Linked DNA regions of Lepisosteus oculatus. The protein of the gene in region 1 binds, or shares a complex with, the protein of each later gene. Links are inferred from orthologs where the notes say so. Each region holds a gene or a part of one and is shown on either strand. Other genes may lie near its edges.

What was found. The genes of interacting proteins can lie anywhere in the genome.
Region 2: lsm11 (region 1) and U7 snRNA-associated Sm-like protein LSm10 share a complex: the UniProt entries of both Homo sapiens proteins name them as parts of the heptameric ring U7 snRNP complex. The link is inferred for Lepisosteus oculatus from reciprocal best matches to the Homo sapiens genes LSM11 and LSM10.

What each region holds. Positions count from the first base shown.
Region 1 is NC_090706.1:28,075,271-28,086,527, forward strand, and holds lsm11 (U7 snRNA-associated Sm-like protein LSm11), read left to right. Parts: upstream 1-6,678; 5' UTR 6,679-6,720; coding exon 6,721-7,171; intron 7,172-7,425; coding exon 7,426-7,565; intron 7,566-8,140; coding exon 8,141-8,224; intron 8,225-9,551; coding exon 9,552-9,929; 3' UTR 9,930-10,343; downstream 10,344-11,257. UniProt on the Homo sapiens protein: Component of the U7 snRNP complex that is involved in the histone 3'-end pre-mRNA processing. Increases U7 snRNA levels but not histone 3'-end pre-mRNA processing activity, when overexpressed. Required for cell cycle progression from G1 to S phases.
Region 2 is NC_090706.1:4,890,093-4,900,508, reverse strand, and holds U7 snRNA-associated Sm-like protein LSm10, read left to right. Parts: upstream 1-5,536; 5' UTR 5,537-5,717; intron 5,718-5,789; exon of another isoform or gene 5,790-5,810; intron 5,811-6,432; 5' UTR 6,433-6,438; coding exon 6,439-6,810; 3' UTR 6,811-7,414; downstream 7,415-10,416. Other genes in the region: oscp1b (protein OSCP1), read left to right, coding at 1-100, 424-552, 780-849, 2,464-2,603, 2,855-2,918, 3,417-3,536. UniProt on the Homo sapiens protein: Appears to function in the U7 snRNP complex that is involved in histone 3'-end processing. Increases U7 snRNA levels but not histone 3'-end pre-mRNA processing activity, when overexpressed. Required for cell cycle progression from G1 to S phases.

The DNA.
Region 1 (11,257 bases):
GTTTTTCAAAAGACACACACATAAATTAGCACGATACCATATGTCACTAAAATTGTACAAGGAGGCCAATCCCTCTTCATGGGTATTCCTGTGCTATAAGGGCCCTTATCAGCTCTGGGTTTTATGAAGAATTTTATACAAAAGCTGAACTGCATTCTGCATGAATGTCCTAGATATCGACTCAGGCCCAGAAGATGAAAGTGCTGATCAGAGCGTATTTACCGCAGTGGAGAGTCATCACCTGATGTTTACGGTTCAGGCCTGTTATTTTCCAGTATCTGAGTTGTAATTAAGTCCCACAAGCGAAGCTGAGTGATAAAGCCCCGTAATAAAGCTAAGGATTCAATTACACACAGGATGTGTCCAATCAGAAACCTGCTTCTAAAGAATTTACCTTTGACGTGGTATGAAGACCTTAAAACAGCTTCTGTGTTTTCTTTGTGATTTTTATATTTTATTAAAAGCTTTGATGACTCCTAAAATAATTAGAGAGGTGTCCTGTTTTAACTCAAGAAGGACCGCCATAAGCATCTTTAGATAAACATGTAAGAATTAGAATAAAAATTCAAATTCTGCTAATTCTTTACCATGGATTATAAAGTACTGCTTGTTAGGTGACTGCAGTCATAAATTTGTCTCAGATGATTAATCACTAAAAGTGGCTTTCTAAAGCTAGAAAAAAAAATACATTTTTAATTTAAATTTACATTTAAATTAGAAGTGAATTACATTTTTTTATTTTATTTTATTGGTCACACCAGCTGTTTCAGAAATCTAGCCCTCTCTTTGAAAGCACAGCAATCCTCCAGTTAGCCCACACACACACACCCCAAAAAACCTTCTCACCCTCAGTCTCTCCTCTGCTTGGGATGTGGTCAGCCCACCCTTCTGCACCAAAGTCCAAAACACCGTGTTGTACAAGTTATTAATATGACCTGGAAAACAGGAGCACCACGCGAGTCAAAACAGTGGTCGGAGATTCAGGATGTGAGAAACAGAAACAATCCAGCAAGAGAGCAAAGAGATTCCAGTCGCTGAACATTTGTAGAGCTGTCTTCTTTCCACTTTACCCAGTACAGCGTCGCGGAGGAACTGGAGCAACAGGCACAAGGGAAGGGAACACTCTGGATGGGACACCAGTCCATCACAGGACACGGACACACTCACACTCAAACCAGAGCCAGTTTTCCCAGAACCAGCCTATCTACTGACTGTGGGAGGAAACCCACACAAACTTGGGGAGAACATACAAACGCTACACAGACAGCAATCCCAGGGATTGAACCTAGGGCACCAGCACTGTGAGACAGCAGGGCCGACCCATCTGCAGAGCAAAATTTTCAAATGGAAAACAAAACATTCACATGTTTTATTTAGTCGAAAGAGTCTCTGGTGGTGGAGAATGAAGCGCTGGGAGCACTCACAGTCGGCCTGTCTCCAGCTGAGGTAGTCTCTGAGGTTCTGGTTGCTAGGATACAGCACCACCCTGCCATCAAAGCCAGGGGGATACTTCAGCTCCTGGTCCCCAAAATAGTCCTTCCAGTAGAAGACGTAGCTAGAGGAGAACTGCGATGCCACATGAGTCATCAGCTTGCTGTAGAGGCAAGAGAAGATAAGATGGGCACGCTTGTGGTCTCTGTTACCCACCAAAATGTAAAATACAGCTATTCACAGTGTGTTTGGCAAGAAGAGGCAAGCTCACAGACGCACTGGGCTTCACATTTGTCCTGTGCTGTGGGCAGTCAACGGTGACAAGTGAGGCTATCTTGGTCATAGCTGTGTGGGTTTTAGTGAGACAGGATGCAGGCTGCCACAACGTAATTTTAGATTCTTTCCACTGCAGTGGGTCAGAGGTCTCCGGAGGTGTGTAGAGCCTTTAAGAGGGTGTCTTCTCTCGTGTCCTTAAAACCTTTGCAGGTCAGGTCTCTCCCGTATATACAGACCTTTTTAACCTCTCTCTGTCCCTGTCAGTTGTGCCAGAGTGCGTCAAGAGAACAACAACCGTGCCACTGCCCAAGCAGACCGAGATAACTTGTTTGAATGATTACGGCCCAGTGGCACTCACTTCAGTGATATGAAGTGACTGGAAAGCCATGATTGGTAAGGGCCATGATTGGTAAAGGCCAATGGGAAATTTGCCCAGGACTCAGGATTACACCCCTACTCTTATCGAGAAACGCCCTGGGATTTTTAATGACCACAGAGAGTCAGGATCTCGGTTTTACATCTCATCCGAAGGATGGCATCTGTTTACAGTATAATGTCCCCGTCACTATACTGGGGCATTAGGACCCACACAGACCGCAGGGTGAGCGCCCCCTGCTGGCCCCACTAACACCTCTTCCAACAGCAACCTTAGTTTTTCCCAGGAGGTCACCCATCCAGGTACTGACCTCCTGGGAAAGCTCACACCTGCTGAGCTTCAGCGGGCTGCCAGTTGTGAGTTGCGAGGTGATATAAACTGCACTATCCCAGACTCCCTTGACCCACTTCAGTTGGCTTACCACCCAAATAGATCAGTGAATGATGCCATATCTCTAGCACTTCATACTGCCCTAGAACATTTGGACAGGTGGGGTACCTATGCTAGGATGCTATTTATAGATTCCAGCTCAGCCTTAAACACAAGGCTATAGAACAGGTTCTACCCTACTGCAGTATGCATCCTTAACAGCTAACTGCAGTGCCTGAGAACTCAGTGCACCTCTGCACTACGCACTTTTTGCATGGACTACCATGTGTTTTTTTTCACTACCACATCTTTATTTTTCTTCACAATGTTTTTATCGCTCTTGTTATTATTTATCATGTTTGCAATGTGCTGTCTCCATTGTGTGGTGTCGTCTGCTGTACTGTGTGTGTGTGTAAGAGATCAGTGTGAATAAGAATTCCAGTGTACATGTCCCCGTGGCAGTAACCTCCCCTACGCCTCTGTCTCTGTCCCCGTGACGTCCCCGCGCCTGGTGGAGAACAAGAGGTTGGGGGCCGCACCTGGCTCTTCTCTTGAACCAGTGGGAGGACCTCTTGAAGACGAAGCTGTACTCGTCGCTCTGCCCGTAGGCGATGACGATGTCCTCCAGCTCCTCCATGACCGAGTGGGCGCTGCGCGTCATCAGGCCCAGCGCGCGCTCGTCGTTGGGCTTCGTGAACTGGTGCTGCTCAGCAAACCTGGGGGGGGAAGGGCGTTAATATCGGCAAACAAGAAAGGAGAAGAGACCCTCTGGGTCAGGCCCAGCTCGCTCTCTTTCAGCCCTCTCTTCCGTGACCACACAGGTGACGCACAGATCCGCCACACAATTTCCTGCTCTGCCCCATTCGGCTGGCGAGAGCTTCCAACTGCGCAGACAGCCTCTGGATTTGCCAGGAGGCCAAGGCCAGGAGGAAGTTCTGCACATGCAGCTTTGTGTAGCTCTCAGAAGGGTACACAATCACAGCGGTGCCACGGTTTCAGAGACGAGAAACAAGATTTTAAGTCCTATCGCCGAATTAAAGTTTAATGACACCTACACCCGTTGTGCTTAAGATTTTATTCAAAATCGGAATGTGTCAAGCACCTGCGCATTTCACTGCTTATTAAGAATTGTATTTGAAATAATAGCAAAGCGCCGGTACCATATCACCCTGCAGCTCTCAACTGGAAGCCCAATGAAGCTCAGCAGGTGTGAGCCTGGTCAGTACCTGGATGGGAAACCACCTGGGAAGCTATGGTTGCTGCTGGAAGAGGTGTTAGTGGGACCACCCTGCGGTCTGTGTGGGTCCTTATGCCCCAGTATAGTTGGGGGGGACACTATACTGTAGTGGGCGCTGTCTTTCGGATGAGATGTAAAACCGAGGTCCTGACTCTGAGTGGTCATTAAAGATCCCTGGGCATTTCTCAATAAGAGTAGGGAGTTATCCCGGTGTCCGGGCCAAATTTCCCCCCTCGGCCTTTACCGTGGCCACCAAATTGTCCCCATGTGTGATTGGCTTGCACTTGCCCTGCAATGGACTAGCGTCCAGTCCAGGGTGTACCCTGCCTTGCACTCATTGCTTGCCAGATAGGCTCTGGCTTCCTGCAACACCATGTGGTATTAAGTGGTTTGGTAAATGACATGACTTAATAGCAAATAGTCCTTCACTCAGAAAAAAAAAGCTAACAATTGGATGCATTAGGCATCCCCATCCAGTGAATGACAAAAGGCTGTCTGCGTTGTAATAATTCACGGCTGACCATTACCTGGGATCACCTGCAGTGCCCTAGAAGCTGACTGAAGCAAGAAACCACCTCCTGCGAGAGCAGCGCAGTTGTGGTCTGCAATGCTACTCACTTGTGGAAGTTTCGACCGTCTAAGCGCACAACGATGTAGCAGTTCCTCAGGCAGGTGTCGTCCGTCTCGAAGGAGCGGACGTACTCGAATTTGCTCTTGGCCATGGCGGGGGCGCGCGAGGCGAGGAAGCCGCGGACAGAGGAGGCCCGACCGCCTCTGTGGGCCGCGCGGTTGGCCAGGCACGATCCGAAGGCTCTGCGGAACGGAGTCAGGCGCGGTCCCGCTAACATCAGCTCCCTGTGAGCAGGAAGAACACAAACACAGAGAACCCGCGGGCTTGGTTTGTAAGGCTGCGATATAGCGATATGAGACGTAAAACTGAGGTCCAATATGGCACACTCACTGATCTATTTGGGCGGTAGGCCAACTGAAGTTGGTCAAGGGAGTCTGGGATAGTGCAGTTTATATCACCTCGCAACTCACAACTGAAAGCCCGCTGAAGCTCAGCAGGTGTGAGCCTGGTCAGTACCTGGATGGGAGACCTCCTGGGAAAAACTAAGGTTGCTGCTGGAAGAGGTGTTAGTTGGGCCAGCAGGGGGCGCTCACCCTGCGGTCTGTGTGGGTCCTAATGCCCCAGTATAGTGACGGGGACATTATACTGTAAACGGATGCCGTCCTTCGGATGAGACGTAAAACCGAGATCCTGACTCTCTGTGGTCATTAAAAATCCCAGGGCGTTTCTTGAAAAGAGTAGGGGTGTAACCCCAGCGTTCTGGGAAAATTTCCCATTGGCCCTTACCAATCATGGCCTCCTAATAATCCCCATCTCTGAATTGGCTGCATTACTCTGTTTTTAATAGCTGGTGTGTGGGGAGCATTTTGGCACACTATGGCTGCCATCACATCATCCAGGTGGATGCTGTACATTGGTGGTGGTGGAGGGGAGTCCCCATTACCTGTAAACAGCTTTGAGTGGAGTGTCCAGAAAAGTGCTATATAAATGTAAGGACTTAATAATAATAATAATAATAATAATATTATAGTTCAGGTGGGTAGCTGTGTCAGCATGCGTAGGCTGCAAAGTAACAAGTAATAGGTTTATTCCATGCTGAAAAGAGAAGAAAGAAACCCACAACGTGTTTTCTTTCTTCTCTTTTCAGCATGGAATAAACCTATTACTTGTTCCATTATTATTATAGTACGCACCAGGTACAAACGACCTCATATTTTGTGCCCGTATTAACCTAATATTCCGCTGAACACCAATTAAAGTAGCAGCTCTGTTATTGTATTCTAAGTTGTATTAGGATATTTAAAGACCTGCCACAACACTTATCTAATGCAAACGGCAAAGAGATTTAGATTAGAAATACAGGCCAGTATAATGGGCTGTACTGATTTGACTTTAAGGCTCAATATCTCTAAGAATGTAAAGCGCTTTGCGTGGAGTGTCCGGAACAGCGCAGTGGAAGTGTAAGGGATTATTAATGTGCTCGCTGCTTTTGCAAATTACGCATATTCGAATATATGCTTATCATCGGGACTACAAACACCGGAATTCATAATGAGGACCTTAACCGAAGGGCCTTCCAGCACATCAATGGGTACGGGACCGACACATTAACACAGCGTTTAGCTACATGATAGCAGTGTAATAGATGTTTGTTTTTTTTCCGCAAGATATATGTAACAGGGCATATTAACCACAAGTAGAGAGAAACAACCCTTTCCTCATAAAGAAGGAACACAAGACTGGTTGAAAATGCACGTAACTAGGTGCTAAGCGTATAACACATTTTAACAACCCTTACCCATTCCTCCTGACATATGCGACTTTACCCAAGCTGTCGGATAAACGCAAGCTACCTCAACAACCTCGTGTAGTGTACAATTAATGTGTACAGGGAAACCGTGAAGTCCATGTGTACAGGCCAGACCCATATACTGCATTTCGGAGGGGGAAAAAGCGTAGTACACTTTCACACCAGCGTGTAGTTAAGGAGAAAGAGCAATATAAAATAAAAATATGTAGTTATAATACATAGTTATCGTGGAAAACTGATATAACTTATACTTTTATTGTTTTGGTTTTTGCAAACGGTATGTATAATTACACGATCACCCCTACAATAAATTCCAGCTTTAAAGTGCGGTACTACATTTAGAGTATCCAACTGCATCATAAAGCTACATTTTGGTTCCTATCTGTGAACTCAGGCGAGTGAGAGAGAAACGCCTATTGCAATTTCCAGAAAAAAGTCGTAACAACTTGAAACGAACGCATTTGTGTCGGTGATTATTAAAAAAAAATATAAACGAAAACATAAATCGCATAATGAACACAAAAACTGTCGTAGCAAAAAAAAACCCAGCAACTTGTGGGCTGATACTCCCTCTAGCGGCAATCAGGAAGCAGTTCTACAAACTCCTTGGACTACATATCCCATGACGCACAGCTGCGGGTCTTTCAAACATGGAGGAGAGTGAACGGAAAGTGACGGACAGATGCTCTGCAACTGAAAAGCGCGGTGATATTATGAACCCCAGTTCGCTTCGGGACCCAGACGAGGAGCAGAGCGAAGAGCCCGAAGATGACCTGAAAGTTAAGCTGGATGTCAGCTCGGATAAGTTTGATCCGTTGTTGGCGCTTTACTGTCCCGAAATCTCGCTGCCGTACCCCAATGTGAAGTGCTTCAACAACATCGCTCAGTATGAAAGTTTTCTCAGAGGGGGCAGCGGCAGAGCGAAGCCGCAGAACGTGGCGAAAAAAAACAGGAAAGCCAAGAAAGGCGTCCCGGACCCAGAGAGGATCGAGAGGCTAAAAAAGTTGATGGTGAATGCACCGACGGAGGAGGGAGCTGGGGGCCGCCAGAGACCGCCAAGAAAAACTAGGGCTCCCAAAAATGTTCTAACCAGAATGGCCGGTAAGCAAAAACTGTAACGCCTGTACGGTCTGCACACACTTGACTCTACCTACACCCGTCACGTAAAAATCGTTGTAGGTTTAATGCAAATGATGAAACTTTGCCCAAATGATTGTACAAGCAGTAGTCAAAGCAGCAGCATTTTCAAATTCTCAGATGATACAGCTGTGTTTGGCTTAATGTATTATCAGGGATGGTATTACAGTGTGCCTTGCCTTGTGGTAATCTCACTGCTATGCCGTTTGCCTCGTCAGTTCACGCTGGGAGCCCCCTGGGAGAGCTGTACCGCTGTGTCCAGGAGAAGATCCGGGTCAAAGTTCACATCCGCACTTTCAAAGGGCTGAGAGGAGTCTGCAGTGGGTTCCTGGTGGCCTTTGACAAGTTCTGGAACATGGTACCTCCCTTCCCATTGTCCGAGTGCTATAGTTATACAGGAAATTTTGCCTGTGGCTTTAGGTTCCTGGCTCCGATTTCTTGTATAACAGTAGCAGGTTGCCTCTTCAAAGTAGTAAACTGGCCAGCAGCTGCTCTAGTGAAAAAGCTTAGACTGGAACATTCCAGTATACAGTATTCAAAGAAAAACACTGTGCCTTGTTCAGTCTTGTGCTGTAGTTTTCTTGTCCTTCTGCCCTCCTTGGTTAAAAGGCTCTTCTCAGCCTTGTTTTCCGCCTAATAGTTGTTCCCCTTGTTTTGCACTTTTAACAACATTTTTGGTGCATCAACCAAAAGCCAAAAGATTGAGGACAAAATTAAGAAATGCAGAGTCCACGCAGTGTGTGTTTCACCTCACAGTGAGGTCACAGTGCGTGCAGGACACCCAGCCTGCTTCTTTGTGAGCGTAACGTCTGGATTTTAGCCGCTGTTTGCTGGCGTTCTGCAGAGCCCGTTGGAATGTGTGCTTTGGCGAGCTGTGGAGCTGTCTGTCTTCTGAGCTGTCTTTTGGCCTGCCCCTCCCCTCTGCTGTTTCAGGCTCTGGTGGACGTTGACGAGACCTACAGGAAGCCCCTGCTGGGGGAGGCCTTTCACCACGAGCGTGCTCTGACTGTCACCAGGGTGGGTACGGCCAACCGTGGCGTCCAGGCAAACAAGCCTGCTCCCATCCATCCCTTCTCTAAACCTTTAATTCAATTCAGGGTTGCAGGGTAGCCGGAGCCTATCCCAGCATGCAACGGGTGCTAAGCAGGGTACACCCTGGATGGGACGCCAGTCCTTCACAGGGCACATACAGACACAAACATGTGGGCAGTTAACCTACCAGTACGTCTTTGTACTGTGGGAGGAAAACAGAACATCATAAAGAAACTTATGCAATCGTTATGAGAACATGCAAACTCCACACAGATAGCACCCCAGGTAGCAGGTAGCAGCAGTGTTAATCACTGTGCCACCATGCTAGCCTTCAAAGCTGGTAGTTTTTTTTAGAATCACATATTATTTTTCTTCTACCCACCCGACTTAGAGTTGCCACTCGTGTGTGTGTTCACACAACCCACAGCTACGAACCCTGTAACCGCACACAGGGGAGAAAGAGGAAGTGCAGGCAGACTCCTCTGGCCCACTCACTTCTGAGCCAATCGTCTTTTAATACGTCACCTGCAGCACCACCCCCGGACTGCATGATCAGCTTTGATTGGAGGAGAGGCGCTTCCCTCTCCAACAGCACTACTTGCCTGCTTGGCCCCAGGAGGGTGAGAGAGAGGCCTGATGCCTGCTCCCACCCAGCGCTCAGCGGAGCTCAGACAGTTGCACACTGTGGCTTGGGGAATCCCGATCCCAGCCAGTCTGCCTCGGGCCCTTACTGTCTGAGCCCCCCTCAACAGGTGTATTCTTGAAAACGTGTACATTTACCTATGCAGTTGTAAGTAATGTAGCAAGCTTGAGATATTCAGGTTGTGGTATTTAAGATCCGGCAGTGCACAGTCAGATCCAGGGGCGAATCTAACTGCTGTGCAGTGGGAGTCTCACCAGTTTCCTTTGAGATTTAGTGACAGGGAGCTCTCTCTCCTCTTGCTTGCACAGTTCAGGGTGTAACACCAGCCTGAGATGGCTTTGCGGTATTTTATCAAGTTCATGTTTATCAAATGCACATCAATACAGTGAAATCAAATGATCATGTCGCCCATTTCTGTGTCCTCCAGCTGTTTGACGTGGCGAAAACATGCAAACTCCACACAGATAGCACCCCAGGTCCAGATTGAATGCAGTGTTAACCAAGTGGATCTAACTGCTGCGCAGTGGGAGTCTCGCCAGTGTCCTGTGAGATTTAGTGACAGGGAGCTCTCTCTCCCCTCTTGCTGGCACGGTTCAGGGGGGTAGCGCCAGCCGGAGACGGCTTTGCTTAGCGATATGTGATCATGTCGCCCATGTCCGTGTCCTGCAGCTGTTCGACAGGCTGAAGCTGCAGGAATCCCCGGATTTCGGGGCGCCGGAGGAAAGGAGCGGAGGGGACCCGCCGAGGACGCGGGAGTCCAGGACCGCCGGCGAGCCCCCGCCGGCTGAGGAGCACACGCCGGCCCGCCAGCTGCGCGGGTCGCCGAGGAAGAAGGCGTGTGGCGGACCCGGCAAGGAGAGGGAGGGGCCGGGACTGGGAGGAGCGCAGGACACGGCTCCGGGTCCGCGGACTGAACCAGAGAGCGGGACACAGGGCGGGGGAAGACAGCCCAAGCCCAGAGTGGACTACCAGCATGTGCACAGAAGGCACGTCAACCAGCTCTTCATCCGGGGAGAAAATATACTGCTTGTCAATTTAGAACAGTAGGTATAAAGAGAACGTCAGGTCACCGGAAAACCGAATCAAATGGTGTTTTATGACGTTTAACACCTACATTAAACGGATTTATAGGCAGATTGCGGCACCCAGTGTTTTCAGCGGCGCTGGCCGAACAGCTAGCCTCCCGAGTCGGGAGCAGTACGTCGCTCCTGGACGGGGGCGGGACACCGGGGCGGAGCAGAGCGGCGCCCTTCTCTCGCACATCGGCCTGGTCCACGCACGGCGAAACGCGCCGCCGTGCTGCTATTCTGTGGAGTTCCGTTTCTGACTTTCTCACGGAGGAGAAAAGAACGTTCACGCGTTGCCTGAAGTGGCACCACACGGCAATGAGAAATTAAAGAAAATAAAATGACATGCAGCAACAAAGCAAAGTGCTAAAAATAAAAAAAATGTGTGAAGATATTTACGGATTTTTTTGAAGAAACCTGGGGTATTATAATAAAATGTCTTTCTACCCTTAATGCTTCCGGTTATGAAGGTTTTAAAAATTGCTATTGGTATATAAGGGTTAAATAAAATGGTGAAAACTAGATGAATATCTAAGAATTATTTGAATGAGGCCAAGCCAGTAGATTATTGTCTCATAAACGTTTTAGTGGTGATTCCCATGTAATTATCATTTACCCAGGGTGGGGAGATTTGATCCGAATTCGTTTTTCTTGTCTGTTCCAGACGCACTAGCTTTTTAATGAAGAAGCCCTTTCACGCCCCCCGCTGAGCTCCCTGCAGTTAGTGCTGTCAGCCAGCAGAGGGAGCGAGGTACTGACTTTTCTATTTTCTACGCAAATTCCTTTTTTTAAGAGTGCTAGCTTGCTTCAAGCCCCCAAAAAGTGTCGTTTTTTTTCAAAATTCGCTATAGGATGTCAGCTATGCGCGTATACCGTAAGTAGTTTATTCAGCGTGATAAAACTGGTGAGTTTTTATTAAAGAGAGGGTAGTTTCAGGATGAGCTACCCCAGTCCTTGGAGAGCCAGTTCTCAGGTTTTCGTTCCCCCCTCTGTTCTTAATTACTTAATTGAGCTCATTAATTAATAATAATAATAAGAGGTCAGATGAGCTGTTTCATTCAGGCCCTCTCCAGTAGCTAATCGAAAACTGCCACGCACAGGACAGGAGCGATCCCGCCCCAGGTCGGGATGGGGGGTTGTTTTGATGTACTGCACGTCTCCGAAGAAGCCGAGCAAGTTCCAAGATTCATTTCACTGCCCATAAAACCAAAACCTCTGGCCAGTCGAGGGGCGTTGGTGTGCCTCAGGAGTGAGTGAGCCCGGCTGATCTCCACCAGATGATTTCTGGAGGTCACGTCAGCTCCGCCT
Region 2 (10,416 bases), about 23 Mb from region 1:
CCATTTTTTTAAAAGACAAAGTACAGAATTCCAATGGCCGGTTTGTGCTGCCTACATCTGGGCCTGTTCCTTGGGGAACTGAACTTCCAGGGCTCATCAGGTAGTGTATTCATTGACAATACCCTGCAGTAGGTTACGTTACTCCTTAATGTTCTAAATGAAGATCTTAAACCATGTGAATATCTGAAGGATTAATGGCTAAGGATTAATTGATATTCCTCTGTTATATACTGTATAATAGTTTTGAAAATCTTTGAGCTACATAATTTATCTTTGTGTTTGTAGACTTTGTTTTCCTGATTGGATTAGACAGTATTCTTTGCGGTTAATTAAAGTGTTTGTTTTGACTTACAACACACTTTTTTATCATTAAGATTAGTAATAGTCTAAGTGCGAGGTTTGTTTTTGTGATTTCTTTCTTAGAATATTCAATGGCAGTGGTGAAGAAGTGAAAAGCTTAGAGTTCCCTAGCGGAGGAAATTATACAAGTCCTCTGCGGGAAGGATCTTTTGACCTTTATGGTGAAAGAGTAATTAAACTGGGCACCAACATGTAAGTATCATTACTACATTTACTACTCAAATTAAAACTCAGTAATAATTAAACAGGGATGTAATAAAAATGAGCCTTGACACACCAGGCTCATTTACAGATACAGCTAGAAGAAATGAAGTGCCTGATTGCCTTTGGATGATTGATGTTTCATTCCAGCCCGCAGTGTAACATGATGTTACTTGCTAGTGGTTTTGAAAATGTTTATGCTGCATCTTGTATTACAGGTATAGTGTAAGCCGCCCTGTGGAAACACACATGTCAGGAACATCCAAAAGCTCTGTGTCGCACACCAAGGTGAGATGACAGAGCACACAGGTCCGGACCTGATGTCTTTTTCCAATGTATTTCCAGCAAATGTTAATTCAGAGGGTGTCCTAACAGAAACAGAAAGTACTTCTAACTGTGGAATGGCTGACATGCTCTTTCCAAACTTAATTTTTTGCAAATTTATTCTTGGAAATGCCCAGACATTATCAAATCAATGGAAATAAACTTGTCAAGTGTCGATCCTTTTCGTAATCTGGAATTGGCAATTGCTTGAAATTCAGATTGTGGCTATCTGTATCTACAGAATTGCCCTGATGATCTGCAGATGTACACCTTCAACACTTGAACTTGAGCCTTATTGCCAGTACTGGTACAATGGAATTCTTACTTACAGAAAGTCTCTCGATTGTTAAAAAAAAGTGCATCAAGGCAATATACAAACAAAAAGTAGACACTGTACAAGTCGACAAGTAAACAGTTCAAATGTAAACAATGACTGCAGATGTGCAATAAATAAAATTACAATGAGGTAGATGGTGTAGGTGTGGTCCGAAGGGCATGGCCAAATGTGTTCGCCAGTCGCGCTGCTTGTGGGCTTTTGAGGAATCTGGTGGTAAGTGTCCATATGCTCTTATATCTCTTGACTGAGGGCAGTGGGGTGAAGAGCTCATGTCCGGGGTGGTGACTGGCCTCTGTGATGGCCAGAATTCTACCATAGCAGCGGTCCTCATAGTGCTGTTTAATCTCTGTGAGACCACGGCCGGTGATCTTCTGGGCCACATTCACTGTTCTCTGCAGTGCTTTTCTCTCGAGAGAAGAGGTGTTGCTGTACCACACGGTGATCCCATTAATGAGGATGCTCTTGATGGTGCAGCGGTAGAAGTTCACCAACACAGGTAGTGGCATCCCCCATCGCTTGAGGCACCTCAGAAAATAGAAGTGCTGCTGAGCCTTTCTTCAAGATAATGTCCATGTTCACAGTCCAGGTTAGATCATTAGAAATGTGAATTCCCAAAAACCTAAAGCTGGTGGTTCCATCAATACTGAGTGGGCTGTGAGTCTGCGGCCTGTGTCTCCGAAACTCCACTATTAGTTATTTTGTTTTAAAAAACCTATCACTGACATTCTTTTGACATGCTACAGGCTGTACAAGCTCCACCAAGCCTAGCAAGAGAATTAGTGCTGATTGGGGGAGAGGCGTACTGATGGTAAAGGCCAATCGGAAATTTAGCCAGGACGCTGGGGTTCTGGGTAACAGCCCTACTCTTTTCGAGAAACACCCTGGGATTTTTAGTGGCCACAGAGAGTCAGGACCTTGGATTTAAGTCGAAGGACGAGGCCTTTTTACAATATAGTGTCCCCAACACTATACTGGGGCATTAGGAGCGCCCCCTACTGGTCCCACTGACACCACTTCCAGCAGCAACCTTAGTTTTTCTCCAGGGAGTCTCCCTTCTAGACTCACACCTGCTTAGTTTCAGTGAGTTATCGGTTGCAGGGTGATATGGCTGCTTTAAAGTAATTCCGGAGCTCGTCAGTAAGATAGAGTACAAATTAAAAAAGTGAAACTCCAAATGAAAGGTGAACTGCCTGTTGTTGGGAATATCTCTGTTTCTGAAACTAAAACGTTTGATCCCCCAGGAAAATGCTGCCCCTAATCCTCTTGCAAAAGAAGAGCTGAACCTGCTGGCCAGATTAATGGGAGGTCTGGAAGTCAAGAAGCCTGCAAATACTGATGGAGGGTTTCGGGTCAACTTGTTCACAACAGACGAGGAAGAAGAGTATGTTTTCTGATTTTTCTGTTTTTATAATCCCCGATCACCCAAATATATTAATTCCTTCACATTTACATTAAAAACTAAAACAAAACTTTGAGATGTCTTGAGATAGAAACTCATTTTGTATAGATGAAGGTGCAAGTTAGTATTTTGTTTATATTTTGTAACTGATGTGTGTTGGATTGTGAGAAATGTGTGTTGAATTTATATGTCTTATGAAACCACTCTGTTTTTACTATTTTACTTTTTCACAGGGAAGCTTTGATATCAAGGCCTCCAGAACTTTCATACCAGGTTATAAACATACAAGCTACAAAGGTAAGAATAGCATTTATTACACTTCAAGTTGGCTTTTTAAATTTTTTAACAACATGCAAATTGAACAGAAGTTAGAACTGGAGTCAAAACTATACTACTTTCTTATCCAAACATAAGGCCAACGCTTTGCCCTAAGACAAGCATGGGGAGAGTGAATCTGGAAAACACTGGTTAAGCAAATTCTGTTGTAAAATGGGTACTATTAATGTAGTTAACTAAAAAATCAAAGGAGTCAAAAATTAGCAGTTTTTATTGTATTACATTTCATACCCAAAAACAAGTAATCTAGAAGTAAAAGACCACAGGGAGACCAATTATGAATTGGTTTTGGAGAGAGACTTCCTGCAGTATGGTAATTCCATAGAATTAAGGCTGCAAATGTTCTTGATGTTTCATGTTCTGAGCTAAAGAAAAACAAAGTTAATCAAGATTAATCAGCCTTCTTGTTCTGTGATTGTGCTGTGGTTCCCTGTCGGTGACGATGTCTGTCAATGTCAGGACCAGCATGCGAACGCAGAGCTGGCTCGTATCATGGGGGAGTTCGCGGAAGAGCCAGGACCGGCCCAGAGCCCGGGCAGCAAGGGGGACAACCTGCTGGCCATGATGGATGGCCTGTGACATTTCCCGGAGGCTGCTGGGACAGGAAGACTAGAGGGATCTTGCAATCACCAAACTTTTATTTTCACTGTGCAGACATGACTTGCTGCTAGCCTGGTACCAAAAATGTGAAGAAGTCATTCAGACTACGAGTATAAGGGCGTTTTGTTCGTCATTTTCATAATAGGATTTTTTTTGTACTCTCGTGGGAAAGGTGACGGGGGGAGAAAGAGTAGTGTGCAGGAGTTGTAAGATGAAACCCAGCAACCATGAGCCACTTGAAACAAATATTCAGCCCCTCTCGGTGTGGTTTCCAGGAAGGGGTTGAGATGTTCCCTGATTGGATAAATCAGTTCACTTTGGGGAAGACTCCGATTCACACGGTGAGAGACGTAGGAGCGTGCCAGTTTCAGTTTAGATTGTCAAGTCTTTTGTTTATTTAAAATGGTTTCACTCAGTAGCGTAGATCAGAGTATTCTGACTAACGAGACCCGGGAAAGCCAGTCCATGAGCCCTTTTGACTGGTTTTGGTGAACATTGAAAACGAATCAGCATGTCGTGCAGCTGTATATCCAACTGCTGTGGTTCACGTCAGGGTCAGGAAAGTTTTCATGAGCTATAAAACAATAAGTAGCAACATATGTAATAAAACCAATAGAAAATAGAAACTATGGAACTTGTTATTCCGTAAAATTAACTCCATTATAAGCCTTTTCCTACTGGCGAACACATATGAATGTAAGTAATTACAAATGTAGATACTGTATTTAGAACTTTGTAAGACACTGTGCCGTCTCAACTTTGTTGCAGGCTGAATCCATCTGTACAGTTTAATAAAACTTTGCCTTCTTTTCCATCTGCTGCCGAGACCTGCTTGTTTTAGTTGGGTCTGTTGTGATTTTAAAGTATCTTCTTCATAACAGTCTTTTTGTCTTTTTTTTTTTTTTACACGGATGAGCAATCATGAAATTTCTAGTGAGGGCATTACTCAGTAGATCATGCCAGTAATGGGTAATTCTTTTTGGTGGGACCCTATTATTTTAATGTCAGGTCAGCTGTTTAACCTGTAAAGTACTTGTCTCAGTCACTGTGGTGGCTGGAAAGAAGACATTGAAGCAAGTGAATAGCTATATTGTATATTCAGTGGGTATGATATTACATTGTGAAAATTTCATATCACTGATGTAAAGAGATTTATTTTGCAAAGGGAATATATATACCTGACACCTGAAGAAGGCTTCACGGCCGAAACATTATATATATGTTGTTATTTTTTGTTGTGAACAGAAATACTATTGCTTCATAGGAACTTTATTTTTTCTACTTGATGAGATAGTATTTCTAAGATTCCTGGCAAGATTTAAGAAGTCTGTGTAAAGATGCCTCTGTATGTATACTCTCTTGTTTTCATGTCTATAGGTTTTGTTATTTCAGTGAATGTGTTGTAGAAAAGGGGAACTCAGCAAAGAACACAAGCACTTGTCTTTATCATCCAAAGGAATGGGTCCAAAATGATTTAATCGTATCTAACACTGGATTTTTAAGATTTTAAAGTTAAGTATACATCTTGGAGCTAGAAAATAAACAAGTGGAATGTGACTACTACAATGAGCAAATCTTGGACTGTTGCTCAGATATAAGAAATAGAAGATATAAGGCATTCTAAACATTTTAATGTGTCTTGTAGACTTTTATTTTTAGACTTTCATAACACAGTGAAAACATCAGTGTATCCTTCTGATGATCAAATGATTTTTATAGGGAAAAACGTTTTTTTTTCTGTTTTTTGATGAGGCCCTGAGAATACCTATGTTCTGTTTGAATCTTGTTTTAAAGAAGGTAAGTAAATCTGCTTAACTAAACAATCATTTATTACCTGTGCAATTGCTATTTATGTTTATTTCAATGACTCTACTGTGATTAGTACAGTGAGTTATTTTTTGTTAAGTTATATCGAGATGTTCAATAAACATACATTCATGACTTAATGTTCTGTTTTCGAATTGGCTTAGGATCCTAAACAGATGCTGTTTTCAGCATAACAGGTGACAAGCAATCCACTTTTCAGCACAAACTCCAAAGTATTTGCAGTAAACCACCGCTAGAGGGGGGTATGACTGCATAAATCTTTTTTCAGAGGCGTGACGTCTAATGAAGGAGCCTTCTTTGACATCATCAGTGTGCTAGAAAGACACATGCAAGGTAAATAAGTTTGGGTTTTAATTGTATAATTTCCTTGTGGGCAGATTTTATGATTCGCTTGGTTAATTGGCGCAGGGCGACTTCGAGAACGACGTAATGCAGTAGTGAAACTAGTTTGAAAATAGAACTGCAAATACTATATAACCGAGATGATTAGACTGTTGAAGTAAACTTACTGAACTAGGTCAAGCAATCATTTCCGCGACCTCGTGAATGTTTCAAGGCATTTTGCAAAGCATATTTTTACGTTTTAAAAATGAAAACGTGCATGTGTTTGGGTTTTTTTGTCTGTCAATGATAACCAAAACCCGCGTCCCGATATTCAAATTTTAAGACGTTCGAGTAGCATGCGCAGGCTGCAAAGGGAACAGGTAAAGGTTTATTCCACGCTGAAAAGAAGAAGACTCCACAGCCCGAAACGTTGCGTCTCTCTTCTTTTCAGCATGGAATAAAGCCATACAAGCTACTAAGGTAAAAAAAAAAACCTGTTCCTGTGCATTCAAATTGTAAGCATGGTGTTTTAAAGAACCTTTGACTCAAGTGATCTCCTGAACTAGTTTGCTCCTGGCTTACTACCAGTAGAGACATTTAATATGCAGCACGCACATCACTTTATTGGTACAGTTTAAACTGCGTTTCTTTAGGATTCTCCGGGGGTGGGGGGGGGATACTTCTGCCCTCCTTTAAAAAAAAAACCTGTCACTCGTTCGTACAGAGCACGATGGCGGTGTCCCATTCGATCAGGGAGCGCACCATCGCCGAGAACAGCCTGGTGGTCCTGCTGCAGGGGCTGCACGGCTGCGTCACCACGGTGGACCTCCGGGACGAGAGCGTGGTCCGGGGCCGCGTGGTCAACGTGGACGCGTTCATGAACGTCCGCCTGGAGGAGGTCGTGTACAAGGACCGACGGGGCGGCCTGCGGCGGCTGGACGACTTCTTCGTCACGGGGCGGAATGTCCGGTACGTCCACCTGCCGGACGAAGTGAACATCATGAAGACTATCGAGCAGCAGCTGGAGAAAATCCACCGGGTCAGGAACTTCGGTGGGGACCGGGGAGGGAGAAAGGAGTACCTGAAGAAGACTCAAACGTGACGGGCCGCGACCGAGTCTCGCAACACACTCGTTTTGCCTGGCAAACGCTCAACAGGTGAAACTACCCTGTCGAGGCTGCTGGGATTTCCTGGTCATGTGTTAAAATATCTGTATGAAATGTGATTTTCTTTATAAACCGTGACAGAAGCTATTGTGGTTTTGGATTTGGAGGCCATGCACTGCTGTACAAATGATCTTGTCCTTGTTTTTAAACGCCGTGACCGAGGTTGACGACAACGTGCGGCAGACTGCCTTTTAAGAAGGGCTATGTAGGGTGTCAAGGATATGTTTCGAATTCTGTAAATAAAACACCAAACTATTTTCATATGAAATCCGGAAAGTAAACGCTGAAAGTAAACGCTTGATTTTTTAATGCATTTTTAGGAGACGTTTCTTGCAATAAAACTATATAAAAAGTTGGATGTTGTGGGTAAAAATCAGCAAGGAAATGTCTGCCTTTTTTGCACAAAAAGATTACGAAAGTGTGTTTTGAAGACCCAGAAACTGTGTGAAAATTACAGCTTTTTGCAGGGTTTGCCTACTTTGGAATTAATCCTCCCTCGGAATTGATGACATTTGATTTAATAAAAAATCTTCTTCTTTTCTTGGTTTTATTTTATATCACAAAAAAACGGCTTAATTTAAAATAAGGAAGGAAACAACACCTTGCTGTGTTTCTGAAGGGAGGAGATAAGCTGGGTTTCAGATGCAGTCAAAGCTGTAGTGAGGTAAACACTTTCTTGCTTTGATAAAGCTCACTTGCTTTTCAGATCCGGTGATTGAGTTTGTCATCTTGTCCTACTCCTACACTGTCTTTCCCCTCCCACACCCTGAAACTCAGGCTGCTTAAATGGCTCATTAGGTACAGTGTCTTTGGTTCTGTGTAGCAATACCAAAACCCCCAAATCGATCAGAGATGTTGTGGGCGTCTGATAGACACCCACTGCTAACTAGGTTAGGCTTTTAGTACTTCCAGTAAAAAGGGTGATAATGCAGTATCATCATAAAAAAATATACAGATGTATAACATATAAACTCATTTCTACCAAGAAGAAATGCATTGAAATGTCAGAATATCTAAAGCCTTGCACAAATGTATCACATATGAATTGTTTGTATTTCTTATAAATTGTATTTATTATAAATATCCTGCTGTGTAAAATTTGATATTTTTACTTTTGGAACTTATTTGGAACACTGATGATGCCAGTGTGTATGAGAGTACAGTACAGAGATTTGAACCTGTGAGTGTGGCACACTTTTGTCAAATCAAAGCTCATTCAAAAAGACCAGCTTCTTTTTAAGAGTCGGAGGAATCTCAGGAGTTCCACACATGGAAAATACCGGAGGTGAATGAGCTGTGACCCGAGCCACTTTCTGTGCAATGTTTAAGGACAGCCAAAGCAGTCCTCATCTGATCTGCACGGCTGTTTGGAATACATACAAAGTTGTGCAATGGTAGCGACAACTCTGCACACATTTTAGTGCTTATCAACAGGAAGCATTAAAGCAGACAAATACGATATGCTATGATCCTGTTGACGAAATAGCAGAGACTTAAACAATCTGCTTCTTTTTCCACGTTTGTCTGTTTCATAATCGTAGCAATGTGCACGCACAGAGAGTAAAGATTCCTGATTAAGTGAGTGGTCTTAAATTTACTGTAAATTGAGAGATAAAAAGTAAAACACCATGGATTTTAGGTTAATACCATATGTTCATTTTTAATTTAAGTGAAGAATGATCATTTCTGCTTCAGGGATGTACACCCTAAAATTATATCATCCTGGAAGATACTGTAAGACAATGTTTTCAAGTATTGTGTTCAGGTGAGTTGCCATTTTGTTAGTTTTAAAGATTAAATTACAGTTATCAAAGTTGTTTTAACATTTTTATTTTTACAGTTCTACAAGTTGTAGAAGAGAACTAGGATGTCTCTCCTTTCTTAGTACCCAACATTATACTTTACATTAGGAGGGTCATCATTAGGGGGTCATCACTTTAAAAAGTTTGAAAACCTTACAAATACATCATGTACCTCACAAATACATCTAATGCGAGCCTTCTAAATATTAATTTTGGACAGTAGGTAACATTACTGCAGCAATTTCAGGGAGGCAGGACACCAAAAAAGTAGCAGGATGTTGAACGTTCTGTAGGTTGCGTACTTTGGAAGCTCTCTTGCTAACTCTTATTGTCTTTGGTGTTCAAACTCAGGCAGCTATAGAGATATAGTGTACAGAACATAACATCTAAACAATTATTCACCATTGCTCAGTTTCTATCAGACCGTTTGACCCCTTGTTTATGCATGCCTTCCAGTGCAAACATGAGTGTCTCGTATCGCTGTGGTTTCCAGAATGGCAAAGCACCAAAGTACATTGTACACATGGACGTAAACCTCTTTTTTTTCCAGGAAGCGCACAGTCCGGATCTCAACTACTGAGTCATGTAAACAAATGATAGCGCACCTTGTCACTGACTAAGAGCAATAAACAACAAAAACAATAAAGCCTTGAGCTATAAAACATGATATACAGTAACTGGCTGCCATCTTTTGGACTGGATTTCAGACAGTCTTGCATGCCAAGTAGGGATGCATCTCAAGGCAGTCAAACAGACGTTGACAGGTGCTTCACCAAGGCGCTCCTAACAAATCGCAAGAAAGTGTTTGGAGCAGAAAGCCCATTAGGAGTGGTTGAACACAGGAGACGGTTCCTAGTCCTTCTCCAACCACAGACTGTTTTTGGCCCTTGGCGCTTTCCCACCCACTCAGAAAACAGTGAAGTCCTGCCATTAATGGAATGTTTCCATGACAACGATGCACACTTACCTGGGTTATTTGAGTGCAGTCTGCCATCACGTAAAAGAGAAACTGAGGCGTCTGAGCTTGACTCAGCCCCTGATTCCCCTGCCAAGCCACGAAAATATTGCATACCACACAGTCAAAACATGCCAGGGCATCACACACAGCGTGGGAGTGGGCATGGCGTTGGGGGCTGCAGCTGGGAAGGGGCTTCTCAGTCTAGACTGTTCAACTTTGCTCCGTTTTCCTTGCTATCAAGGGAATCTCCTGGACCTCTCAATAGCGGTAGACATTGTGGTTCTGATTGTCAAGGAAAAATATTGGAATCAGATGGCCATTCACAACAGTGGCAAAGTATAAGGAAAAAGTCTAAAACGTAAAATGTAGTAGCTACCTTTCCTGTGGATGGTTACAATCACTGAATTCTATCAAGTCGTTCTTCTGTGTTCAAGTTTATGCACTGGAGTGGAAAGTTGGATTTTGTTCCTTAATTCCCTGTTGGAAAATAGAACTGGAAGAGTAATTGGCCCCTCTGTCCTCACTGAGGTCAGCACTCATGTATCGAATCCAGAAAGAACACATAATACCGCCCCAAAAAAGTTATGGGCTTTAGTGGCTGAATGTTTTCTGTCTTATCTGATGTTAAACCTGAATGTTTTCTGTCTTATCTGATGCTGAATCCTTTCTTGAACTATCTTTCAAGTGTCAGGAACAGTTCACTGCGCTGCAGCTGTCTGCCTTCCAATGACAGCTGGTGTTGATAATTTGGACGAGAGTGGCTTATCCCTGCAGCAGAGAGG